3 linked regions of the Saccharomyces cerevisiae S288C genome follow. The protein of the gene in region 3 binds, or shares a complex with, the protein of the main gene of each other region. Each region holds a gene or a part of one and is shown on either strand. Other genes may lie near its edges. The genes, in order: RFC4, RFC2 and CTF18. A codon is read from its position in the direction of its gene.

Region 1 (3,489 bases), on a different chromosome or scaffold from region 3:
AATCTGATGGACAATTTCCTTATTTGTATGCGAGTTTTCGAAAATGGACAGTAAATTTTCTATTATACTATCAACTGCTTTGTTTGTTAACGAAAATATAAGTATTTCTTCAGGCTTAATATTCTCCACAGTAATTAAATGTAGTACTTTATATAGTAGCGTTAGCGTTTTTCCTGAGCCTGGGCCCGCAATGACTTTTATCGTAGACGCTGGTTCATATGACTTATTTATTACCTTCCATTGAGATGGAGTTAGCTTGTCCATCTGTCTTCAACGAACGACGTATACCTTCTCTATATTTTTTCTACATATTATGACTATGTAACTGCACTGCGAGTTGTAAGTTTTGATCAACAAACAACTTTAAAGCTTAAATTGTGCAAAAATGAAAAAAAAAAAAAAATTCTGACACATCACAAGGGAAGAGACAAGACAAAGAAGTAGAATTTAAAGTAATGCACTAATATGGGAGTTTTTTTTATAGTTTTCGGATATTTAAATCAGGCTTTATTATTTAGTTTATGAATTTTCGCTAACATACTAGCCAGTTGCAAGTACGTTCCAACACCCTCCAGAATTCTCATATGGGTCAAACCGATTTCTTTTATCATTTCCAATCTTACTGATTCTTTCACTTGTGCTAAGTTTTTGGTAACGCGGAAAGATGTTGTGACGATATCAATCGAGGAATAACCCTTTTTCCAAAGATCTGTTCTTAAGATTTGAATTGAATCTTCTAGGTTGGAGGCTAGTAACATTTTCTTCACTATTAGAGGGTGAGGAGAATCAACAATTTTGAAGACATTGTCTGCGTTCACTAAACCGTGTCCTGCTACTGTACTTTGTAGATTGTTTATGGCCTGTCTCATGTCACCCTCCGCTGTAAAAATGATTGCTTCTAACCCATCATTTGTATACTTAACATCCTCTAGCTTTATGATTTGTAAAAGACGTTTTAGAACGTCTTCATCGGATAGTTTAGAATACCTCAAAATCGCACATCTACTTTGCAGCGGCTCAATGATCTTGTTTGATTGATTACAAGCAAATGCAAACCTTGTAGAGTTCGAATATAGCTCCATGGTCCTTCTCAACGCTTGCTGAGCACCAGCAGTCATGGAATCCGCCTCATCAAGAATAACGATTTTATGTTTCCCTGGAGGCAAATGTAGTTTCTTCTGGGCAAAATGTTTTATTTGGTTTCTGACGACATCAATACCTCTGTCATCTGAAGCGTTCAACTCTAAAACACCGTCAGCATAAGAGCGGCCAAGGAGCTCGTGAGCAAGGCAATGTACCGAAGTGGTCTTACCTATACCTGGCATACCTGATATGATCATATGGGGCATGTTACCATCTTTAGCGATTTGCTGAAGTCTATCAATGGTCTCTTTATTACCGACTATATCAGATAAAACTTGGGGACGGTATTTCTCAACCCATGGAAGTTGCAAAGATAAAGTTTTGGACATTATAAGGGACTTTTTATATCTTCTGGGAAGCTCTGCAATGTTATAATAGATCCAATCAGATTTATAAATGCTACTATTTTACAGTATTTAAAATATGTGGTTGGTTTTCCCACCTTTTTGTCAAGAAAAAACGCGTTTAATCTAACAGTGTGATGTGGTAATGAAAAATTTTCATTGTCTTTAAGAGAGATGGTGATGTTTAATATAGCGTAAAGCTTTCAAGGTAAATAATTAAGTGTCAATCTGCAGGCAAAACAACATGTCCAATGATGAGATAAACCAGAACGAGGAAAAGGTGAAAAGAACACCACCTTTACCGCCTGTGCCAGAAGGCATGTCTAAAAAGCAATGGAAAAAAATGTGTAAAAGACAGAGATGGGAGGAGAATAAAGCCAAATACAATGCGGAACGCCGTGTAAAGAAGAAGAGACTTCGCCATGAAAGAAGTGCGAAGATTCAAGAATACATTGACAGGGGAGAAGAGGTCCCGCAGGAATTGATTAGAGAGCCTCGTATCAATGTGAATCAGACTGATTCTGGGATAGAGATCATACTTGACTGTTCTTTTGATGAGTTAATGAACGACAAGGAAATAGTAAGCTTGTCTAACCAGGTCACCAGGGCATACTCCGCGAATAGAAGGGCGAACCATTTTGCAGAAATAAAGGTGGCCCCATTCGACAAAAGACTAAAGCAAAGGTTTGAAACTACTCTGAAAAATACCAATTATGAAAACTGGAACCATTTTAAATTCCTACCAGACGACAAAATCATGTTTGGAGATGAGCATATAAGTAAGGACAAAATAGTGTATTTAACGGCCGATACAGAGGAAAAGCTGGAGAAGCTGGAACCCGGGATGCGATACATTGTTGGCGGCATTGTAGACAAGAATCGTTATAAAGAATTGTGTCTGAAGAAGGCCCAAAAGATGGGCATTCCTACGCGAAGATTGCCCATTGACGAGTACATCAATCTCGAAGGCAGAAGAGTGTTGACGACAACGCACGTCGTGCAACTCATGCTGAAATACTTTGATGACCATAACTGGAAAAATGCCTTTGAAAGCGTTTTACCACCCAGAAAGCTGGATGCGGAAGCAAAATCCGCAAGCTCTTCGCCAGCTCCAAAGGACACATAGGCAGCCATCACTGTAGTATTATTAGTAACTGAATAGCAAAATAGTAATAGTCTCCGTAGCTACAATAGGTGTATATTGATGTCAGAGATACGGGTTAAACATGCGCAACTGGTAGTAGTTCTTCAAAGGGTGTTTATGCTTATCATAGTACTTGGACATTAGCCGCCGAAACTGGCTCCACTCGAAATCTAAATGGCATTCCCTTTTTAATATTAACAACACCAATCTTAGTGTCCGAGAGGTCCAAATCTAATGTAGGGCCGTGGGAGGATACTTCTTATTTCTCTTTGCTTATTTTGCTTTGATGTTGTATGTGTTTTACCTGTAAATTCTCTAATATGGTCATTTTTGCTCTTAATGACTCTTTTATTTTTACCCGGATTGCAATTTTTCACATATCGTCTTTTTATTCACTACGTACTTTAATCGTCTTCGCGATGATATGTACTGCTAACGAAAGAATGCCATACAAAAAAAAAGCTACCACATCGCTCGACGACCTCAATTATGCAACTTGTGCCGCTAGAATTGAATAGATCCACTCTAAGTGGGATATCTGGGTCCATCTCCATCTCCTGCTGGATCATTGTGTTTGTCCCTCAAATTTACGAGAACTTTTACCGGAAGTCGTCTGATGGGCTGTCTTTATTGTTCGTGGTACTTTGGTTGGCCGGCGATGTCTTTAACCTTATGGGTGCCGTTATGCAACATCTTTTGTCTACCATGATCATTCTTGCTGCTTACTATACGGTGGCAGATATCATTTTACTAGGTCAATGTCTATGGTACGATAATGAGGAAAAACCAGCAGTAGACCCTATTCATCTCTCCCCTGCCAATCCAATAAACGAAAACGTTCTGCACGATGTGTTCAAT
Region 2 (3,435 bases), on a different chromosome or scaffold from region 3:
CGATTTTGACTCAAGAGGTCGACAACAACAACAAAACCATCCACTTAATCAATGAGGCCTTAGACCTGGAAGAATTGCAGGACACGGATCTGAATGCCATTGCGTTAGCTAAGGGAAAGCAAGCTGTTGCGGCCTTGGGTAAGGGTAAGCCAGTGTTTGTGGAAGACACTGCGTTGAGATTTGACGAATTTAACGGTCTACCAGGTGCTTATATAAAATGGTTTTTAAAGAGCATGGGATTGGAAAAAATTGTGAAAATGTTGGAACCCTTTGAAAATAAAAACGCTGAAGCAGTTACCACCATTTGTTTTGCTGATTCTCGGGGTGAATATCACTTCTTTCAAGGTATTACAAGAGGCAAGATCGTTCCAAGCCGGGGACCCACTACATTCGGCTGGGATTCAATTTTTGAACCTTTTGATAGTCATGGACTGACTTACGCAGAGATGAGCAAAGACGCAAAGAATGCTATTTCTCATCGTGGTAAAGCCTTCGCTCAGTTTAAAGAGTACTTGTATCAAAATGACTTTTAGGTGATGTGCTGAGAAGATAAGAGGAATTATGGATAGATTTTTTTTTTTTTATTCTTACTTTATGTCGCCTCTATATTCAATTATATAAAGATGCCTGTATATTAGAGTTGGGATATTTTAACCAATAAGTTTAATAATTGGATGTGCTCGTTCGTTCCGTTGTTTAATCTGGAATCCGTAGTAAACAGCAACCAAGATATTTGATTTTTGAAGTTCGTATCAAAGTTATCGTTGGTGATGTAATATTCATGTAGTTGGTTAACTACTGACGCAGCAGACCAACCGCTTTTCATAAACGTATTGACGTATTTCTTAATCTCATCAAAATCACCACTTTTGACTTTTTCAACAATTTCTATTAGAATGTCATGAGGTACCACACCAGCTAATTCTTCCACTTGGGTAGAAGTTATGTTTTTACCATCACCCAAGTATTGCGCCCCCTTGGAAGCGGATTGTAATAATGTAATGCCTCTTCTCAAGTCACCTGCCGAAATGTCCAAGATCCTTTCCAAAACTCCATCATCACATTTAACATTTTCTTGTTCGCTGATAAACCTCAAACGGTCAATGGCATTACTTGCGTCTAGGGCTTTGAATCTAAATTTGGAACAACGGGACGCTAGCGGGTCAATAATTCTTGTCACATAATTACAAATCAAACAGAATCTTGTTACTCCTGAATAGGTTTCCATTGTTCTACGTAATGCACTCTGTGCATCGGCAGTCATTGAATCGGCCTCATCGAGAATAATGATCTTATACGGTGGGCACGGATAGTTCTCCAAGTCATGTTTGCTAGGCTTGGATACAGTCAATCTTGCAAAATTTTTTACCTTTTCTCTTACAATAGAGATACCACGTTCGTCAGAAGCGTTCAACTCCAATATTCTTGATTTCATCAAGTCGGGTCCATATAATTCTTTTGTTAGCGCTAAAATGGTAGACGTTTTACCAGTTCCTGGGGGACCATAAAACAACATATGTGGTAGATTAGCTGACTTTAAGGTTTTCTTCAAAACAGTAACGGCATGATCTTGAGCTGTCACTTCATCTAGGTTTTTGGGCCTGTATTTCTCAACCCAGGGTTGTTGTGCCAATGATTGCTCTGCGGCTAACTTTGATATCTTACGCTTTTTATTTGGACCAAACCCTTCAAACATCTCAAGTGATTGCCAATACTTTCCCCCAGTATTTCTCGCTGTCTCTCTATTTTACTTCTCTTATAGCATTGACTTGTTCGCTTGAGTTACTTCCTGATTGCTTTGAAATACGCGAAGTAAAAGAGTGAAAAATAACGATGAGAAAGGTTTTTGATAGAAGAGAACAAAAAAGGAACAGTGTTACAATAGTATATAGAGATGTCGAATACTTGGGACGATGTATGGGCATCAGACAGTGATGTCGAAACTGAACGATCTCCAGATTTAGTGAAGTTAAGAGAGAATCATAGCAAGAGGGGGTACTTGGACGGAATAGTGAGTTCTAAAGAAGAAAAGCTGCAAGAGGGTTTCAATGATGGTTTCCCAACGGGCGCTAAATTAGGGAAACAAGTTGGCATAATTATGGGGATTTTACTTGGCCTACGAACACGTTTTGGTGATGAAGATGAGGACCTCAGTAAGGCATATATTGATGCTCAAAAAGAATTACGCATTAACAAAGTACTTAGTAAGTCCATATTTGATCCAAACTTTGACTTGCAAGAAAAACATCCGCTCATAACAAAATGGACTGATATTGCCAATACCTATTGTGAAAAGTACCATGTGCCATCTATCCAATAAAGTTGTTTTAAATGGAGTTGATTTCACAATTTATGTACCTTATATCATCCTTCATTTCACATAATGACGAGATATTACAAAAATAATGATAATAATAATAATAATACACAATACTTGCACACGTATACAAATGCGTAATACAAAAAAAATAAATAGTAAACAAAGCACGAAATGAAAAATGACACCGCAGTCACCAGAATGGGCACCATCCAATATAATGTTGACATAACCTTTCAATAGAAGTGGCTTGTTGGATCAGTTTATCAACCTGCTCAGGGACGTCTAATTCATTGAACCTCTTGATATCATTGCCCGTTAATTTATCTGTAATACGTCTCAAAACAAGCATTGCTCTGGCGTTTTTGGTCTCATTTTGTTGTTCTGCTTCCATATTTGCCGCTTCTTCGACAGTAATTGCCCCCTTCCTTAATAATTCACTAGGATTAATCAACGGCAAAGGAATTCCAGTTTGCTCAGTAAGTTTTTGTGGCGGTAAATCAAATCCCCAATGGATCAAAGGATCAAGCGCAAAAGCTTCCAAGATCGCCATTAATGATTCTTTATTATCTCTTAAGACTCTCATGACATTTTCACAAGTAATTCGGAAACTGCCTTCAATTCCACTAACTTCCATTGCGTATGTTAACATCCTAGTTAGTCTAAATGGCACTTTTTCTGGATACTTTTCTCTTAAGATGGCAGCTTCAAAACAATCGCCGAAATCAATGTGGATAACTTTACCGGTGATTCTATCTAGCATCAGGTTGCTTGGATGGCGATCACCTAGTCCCAGAATATAACCAGTCATGGACATAACTGCTAAAGATCTCGTATAAGTTGTTCTACGTTCTAGCCATGTCTCTGACGACCTACTCTTTAACCATAATATTTTATAAAGGTCTTGGCCTTTTGTATTATCTAAAGCGTACGTGAATACTTCAATTTTTTGTAAAAGAGTCAAATTCTCATAATCGGGGGCCATTTGTAACATAACCCAATGTTCAATGTTCAACGGAATTTTTTTGGCATCACGGTGTTCTCTGATCAAAACGTGGAATGTGTCACTATTTGGTACCCATCCTAGTAAACCAGATTTAGGCGACAATGGAATAGCC
Region 3 (4,275 bases):
TATTAGGTCTTTTAGTTGACTCTTCTCTACCAAAATCAAATTATCTGTCCTCCTCGTAAACTTATGAATTTCATCTTTAGATCGTTTTACTTCTAGGATCGCCCTATCTGTTTTGGTTATATGCACTTTACTACTTTTTTGGCCCATTCGATATATACAAAAGCACCAAGTGGAGTTAATTCAGCAGTCTGTACTATTTTTCCAAACTATCTATGTTTTGTTCTTTTCTATGCGCTATATTGTATCCCACAGATAGTAATTCGATTTTCGGTCTTTCTGCTCTTCGGGGTTCCATTTATGTAGAAATAAGAACGATAGCGAAGAGGGTAAAAGATCACGAATAAAAAACGAACGCTGCGTGACAAAATCGGAGCTGTTGCGACTACCGGCAGGATTGATTGCTAATGTTCTTTATTTACTTCTTTTAGATTTCTATGTAAGCTGCTGGTCCATATACAAGTATGCTTCTTAAGAGAGACTGCGTATATATCTTACGTCATTTATTCCCACAGGTTATTCCAAGTCACATTTTTCCTGACAGCGTTAGAGAACCCCTCATTGTATTTCACCCATATTTTAACCGTTTGATTGCAGTCATCTGCTTGGTTGGTTTCGTCTGATCCAATAGTTTTTTGTGTCTCTTCCAATTCCTGAGTTTGCTTCAATAATCCGTACTGATTCTTGAAAAAGTCGATTGTACTTGAGGAAGAATTTAACCCAGTTTTGACTTTTTTGCTATGCATTTCCTGTGACTGTAGTCTATCCTCAGTCACTTGGTCTATATGCCTTTTCTTGGCCCGGTTTTCCTCAATCTTTGCTAACAGTGAACTCAAATTATTAGCCCGTTTATGTTGGACTTCGTTAATATGTTTAGGATTTAACAATACGACTTCATCGATTGGGGGATCGATTGTTAGGCCACCCCTTACATCAAATCCTTCTGACCGATTTTGGATTAGATTCAGTTGAAAGCTTTTCAGCAATTGAACTAATTCCTCCATGATGGCTTGTTTGAGTTTCAGGTTCCTTATTTTATTAAAATCGGAAGAGATCATCGAATCTAGATATGGTAGTATTTCAAAGATTAACGATTTTCTATCCGTAAAACTTGCCATTAGTGGGGACTGAACCGAGATATGTCTCATAATCAGACTAACTATATCTGAATTGGCTCGTTTTAATTCACGTTGTTCGTATTCACTATTCTTCATTCTAATATCATCTTTGTTTGCGATATCGCCAAACGTTTGGAAGAAGACTAGGGGCACAAGGGCGGAGTAACGTAACAATTCGCCATTATGCGCATACATTGATTGGTACATTAAATCATGGAAAAATAGCCAATCTGAAATGTTTGCTGGCTTTCTTATACCATTGTCGGAATATTTTACGTAGGGAAATATATTAAAACAGCCTTGCAATATCCTGTCAGAGTTACCATTAAGCTCTACTTGGTTTAGCAATTCATAAAACTGCTCCTTTATATCACGATGTGGATCCTTTCTAAACAATTGGTTCACGATTTTAAACCATGATATGGGGGAGTCCTTGTTGGATGACGCCCACGTATTTTTTGCACAAGCAGGTTTATCTGATGCAGAGGAATCTCTTGAATCAACATTCGAGGCCAAGAATTGTAAATTGTTTATACAATTCCTTACGTCACCTTGAGCCAAATCAATTAAGTCATTGATTGCTTTTATAGGAATATTCATGTTTTCTTTATGGCAGATAAGGTTCAATCGCTCTAGTAGGGTAGTATCGGAAGGTCTTTTCACAGCAATAATTTCACAGAATGGTTTCAGCTTTTCCAAAGAAGGAGCATATAGATTATTGCAAATACAAATAATAGGTCGCGTAAGCAATTTAGACCTTTTCTTTTTGCGCTTTTTGTCCTTTTTATCTGGTTGACCGTATAATAGTTTATTAGTGGCTTTAATATCGCTTTGCATAATGTCAACTAAAATTCTAATAAATCCACTCTCAATACTTCCATCAATCTCATCCGCCACTAAGCACACAGGATTTGTATCGAAAGTATGATTGAATAAAAGATTATATATTTTCTCTTTTACCATAGGTCCAGCCCTTTCATCACTTGCATTGATTTCTGAGACAGAAAACCCTGATTGTTTGGCAATAACGTGAGCTACTGAGGTTTTGCCTATTCCTGGTGGCCCGTGCAGTAGTAAAATTTTCTTTGGTGGCCTTTTCAATGGATCGAGTTCCATATCACTGACCTCTTTTTCGGTTGGCAATTTGGGTAATTGCTCTTTAAACACAGCCGGCGTCCATTGTCTCAACCAACCTAACATTCTCCTGTTTGTCTTTTCATTACCAACCAAATCTAGAAATTTTTTAGGACGCCATTTCTCTACCCAGAGTGTGTCGCTACCTATCTTGCCAGTTATAGGTGAAGTCTTTTGTGCGTTAGTGCGGTCATCGCCAGATGCCTCAATTTTGTCTAACAAATAGTTTATATTGATGCCGTACGTGTCGTCTGATCTCCAAACAGTATCTGGGTTAGTGTATAGACTAATATTCCCGGTTGCTAACTTCGCAGGCTTCTTCTTTAATTGAACCGTTTCGCCAGTACTTGATACAAACGCGTGAATATCTTCCTCATTAATACCAATTGCATTATTACCAGGGGCTTGTTCTATATCACCAGTATCAAAAAGGGAACTTCTCCCTAGTGAACCAATGTATGGTGCGGTATCAACCATGATCCCTGACCTTACATCCACCTTTTGGGTCAAATAGTGTACACATTAGGAATAAAATATATGAAATCATGTTTATTTACGTGTTAGATGTTCCGTACAACGCGACTGGCTAGTTCGTTTTTTCCACATTTTTTTTTTCAACGTTGATCAACAATAAAATGGTACATCTTCCTTTGTTTGTGTCTTAAGTGTCCTTTCCTGGTATATCGCTTGACCAGCGCCTGTAGCATCAAACCAAACCTTCATCGCCCTAAAACACAATGGTTACAGTATGTTGTTGCTTTTATTTACTTTTTCTTTTTTTGACATTCATTGTGACAATATTCACATTCTTCAGATAGTTCTGTCTATATGAAGCAAAAATGATATATCAATAAGTTTACTAACAAACACAAGTGGTATTACTATGACTTCACTTTAAATAGCAACAAGAAAAGGAATTTTTAGAATCCTACCCTCAAAACTGTCCTCCAGATGCCTTGCCTGGTACTCCAGGAAATTTAGACAGCGCTCAAGAGAAGGCATTGGCAGAACTAAGAAAACTTTTGGAAGACGCTGGTTTCATTGAACGTTTAGACGATTCAACTTTACTACGTTTTTTGAGAGCCAGAAAATTTGATGTTCAATTGGCTAAAGAAATGTTTGAAAACTGCGAAAAATGGAGGAAGGATTATGGTACCGACACTATCTTGCAAGATTTTCATTATGATGAAAAACCATTGATTGCCAAATTCTACCCACAATATTATCATAAAACCGATAAAGATGGCCGCCCAGTATATTTTGAAGAATTAGGTGCTGTTAACTTACATGAAATGAACAAGGTTACCTCTGAAGAGAGGATGTTGAAAAACTTGGTTTGGGAATACGAATCTGTCGTTCAATACAGATTACCTGCCTGTTCAAGAGCTGCTGGTCACCTAGTGGAAACTTCATGTACAATTATGGATTTGAAAGGTATCTCCATATCTAGTGCATACAGTGTTATGTCATATGTTAGGGAAGCCTCCTACATAAGTCAAAACTATTACCCCGAACGTATGGGTAAATTTTACATCATCAACGCGCCATTCGGTTTCTCTACCGCATTTAGGCTATTTAAACCTTTCTTGGATCCAGTCACTGTTTCAAAGATTTTTATCTTGGGTTCTTCTTACCAGAAGGAATTATTAAAGCAAATTCCAGCTGAAAACTTACCAGTCAAATTTGGCGGTAAGTCTGAAGTTGATGAATCCAAGGGTGGGTTATACCTATCCGATATCGGTCCATGGAGGGATCCAAAGTATATTGGACCGGAAGGTGAAGCTCCGGAAGCCTTTTCGATGAAATGATATTATTTTTAAAGACATTTTTTTTTCGAGAGAGAAAAGAGGAGTTCTAAGTAACGATATTTTACAACTGAGATAAGTACAAGTATGCTTATTTACTCTATTCTACTTTTTTGAATAGGCATAGTTCACACTTTTATCTCCTTAGTTTGTACTACTCTTTTTTTATTTTTTTTTTTTCTTCCACTCAGCTATTAGATTATTTATTATTTTATTATCTG

The links.
Region 1: the proteins of CTF18 (region 3) and RFC4 are in contact, whole or in part, in a cryo-EM structure (PDB 8TW8), measured with the Saccharomyces cerevisiae proteins. Residues at the interface, in NP_013795.1 of Saccharomyces cerevisiae: Asp394 (codon at 1,547), Ser395 (codon at 1,544), Lys416 (codon at 1,481), Phe419 (codon at 1,472), Leu428 (codon at 1,445), Trp462 (codon at 1,343), Phe465 (codon at 1,334), Leu468 (codon at 1,325), Met469 (codon at 1,322), His476 (codon at 1,301), Glu479 (codon at 1,292), Leu480 (codon at 1,289), Arg482 (codon at 1,283), Tyr483 (codon at 1,280), Leu486 (codon at 1,271), Gln493 (codon at 1,250); in NP_014547.1 of Saccharomyces cerevisiae: Asn148 (codon at 1,031), Glu152 (codon at 1,019), Gln155 (codon at 1,010), Ser156 (codon at 1,007), Val267 (codon at 674), Phe271 (codon at 662), Ala278 (codon at 641), Gln279 (codon at 638), Val280 (codon at 635), Lys281 (codon at 632), Glu282 (codon at 629), Ser283 (codon at 626), Arg285 (codon at 620), Leu286 (codon at 617), Ile289 (codon at 608), Lys290 (codon at 605), Ile292 (codon at 599), Gly293 (codon at 596), His296 (codon at 587), Met297 (codon at 584), Leu300 (codon at 575).
Region 2: CTF18 (region 3) and RFC2 share a complex: the UniProt entries of both Saccharomyces cerevisiae proteins name them as parts of the CTF18-RFC complex.

Annotation. Positions count from the first base shown.
Region 1 is NC_001147.6:141,084-144,572, forward strand, and holds RFC4 (replication factor C subunit 4), read right to left. Parts: upstream 1,473-3,489; coding exon 501-1,472; downstream 1-500. Other genes in the region: HMI1 (ATP-dependent 3'-5' DNA helicase), read right to left, coding at 1-264; TRM10 (tRNA (guanine(9)-N(1))-methyltransferase), read left to right, coding at 1,732-2,613; YPQ1 (cationic amino acid transporter), read left to right, coding at 3,121-3,489. UniProt on the Saccharomyces cerevisiae protein: Component of ATP-dependent clamp loader (RFC and RFC-like) complexes for DNA clamps, such as the POL30/PCNA homotrimer and the checkpoint clamp DDC1:MEC3:RAD17 complex.
Region 2 is NC_001142.9:565,904-569,338, reverse strand, and holds RFC2 (replication factor C subunit 2), read right to left. Parts: upstream 1,697-3,435; coding exon 635-1,696; downstream 1-634. Other genes in the region: nucleoside triphosphate pyrophosphohydrolase HAM1, read left to right, coding at 1-533; YAE1 (Yae1p), read left to right, coding at 1,895-2,320; phosphatidylinositol kinase-related protein kinase TOR1, read right to left, coding at 2,511-3,435. UniProt on the Saccharomyces cerevisiae protein: Component of ATP-dependent clamp loader (RFC and RFC-like) complexes for DNA clamps, such as the POL30/PCNA homotrimer and the checkpoint clamp DDC1:MEC3:RAD17 complex.
Region 3 is NC_001145.3:422,003-426,277, forward strand, and holds CTF18 (Ctf18p), read right to left. Parts: upstream 2,727-4,275; coding exon 501-2,726; downstream 1-500. Other genes in the region: ESCRT-III subunit protein VPS20, read right to left, coding at 1-147; phosphatidylinositol/phosphatidylcholine transfer protein SEC14, read left to right, coding at 2,987-2,995, 3,152-4,057. UniProt on the Saccharomyces cerevisiae protein: Essential for the fidelity of chromosome transmission. Required for the DNA replication block checkpoint.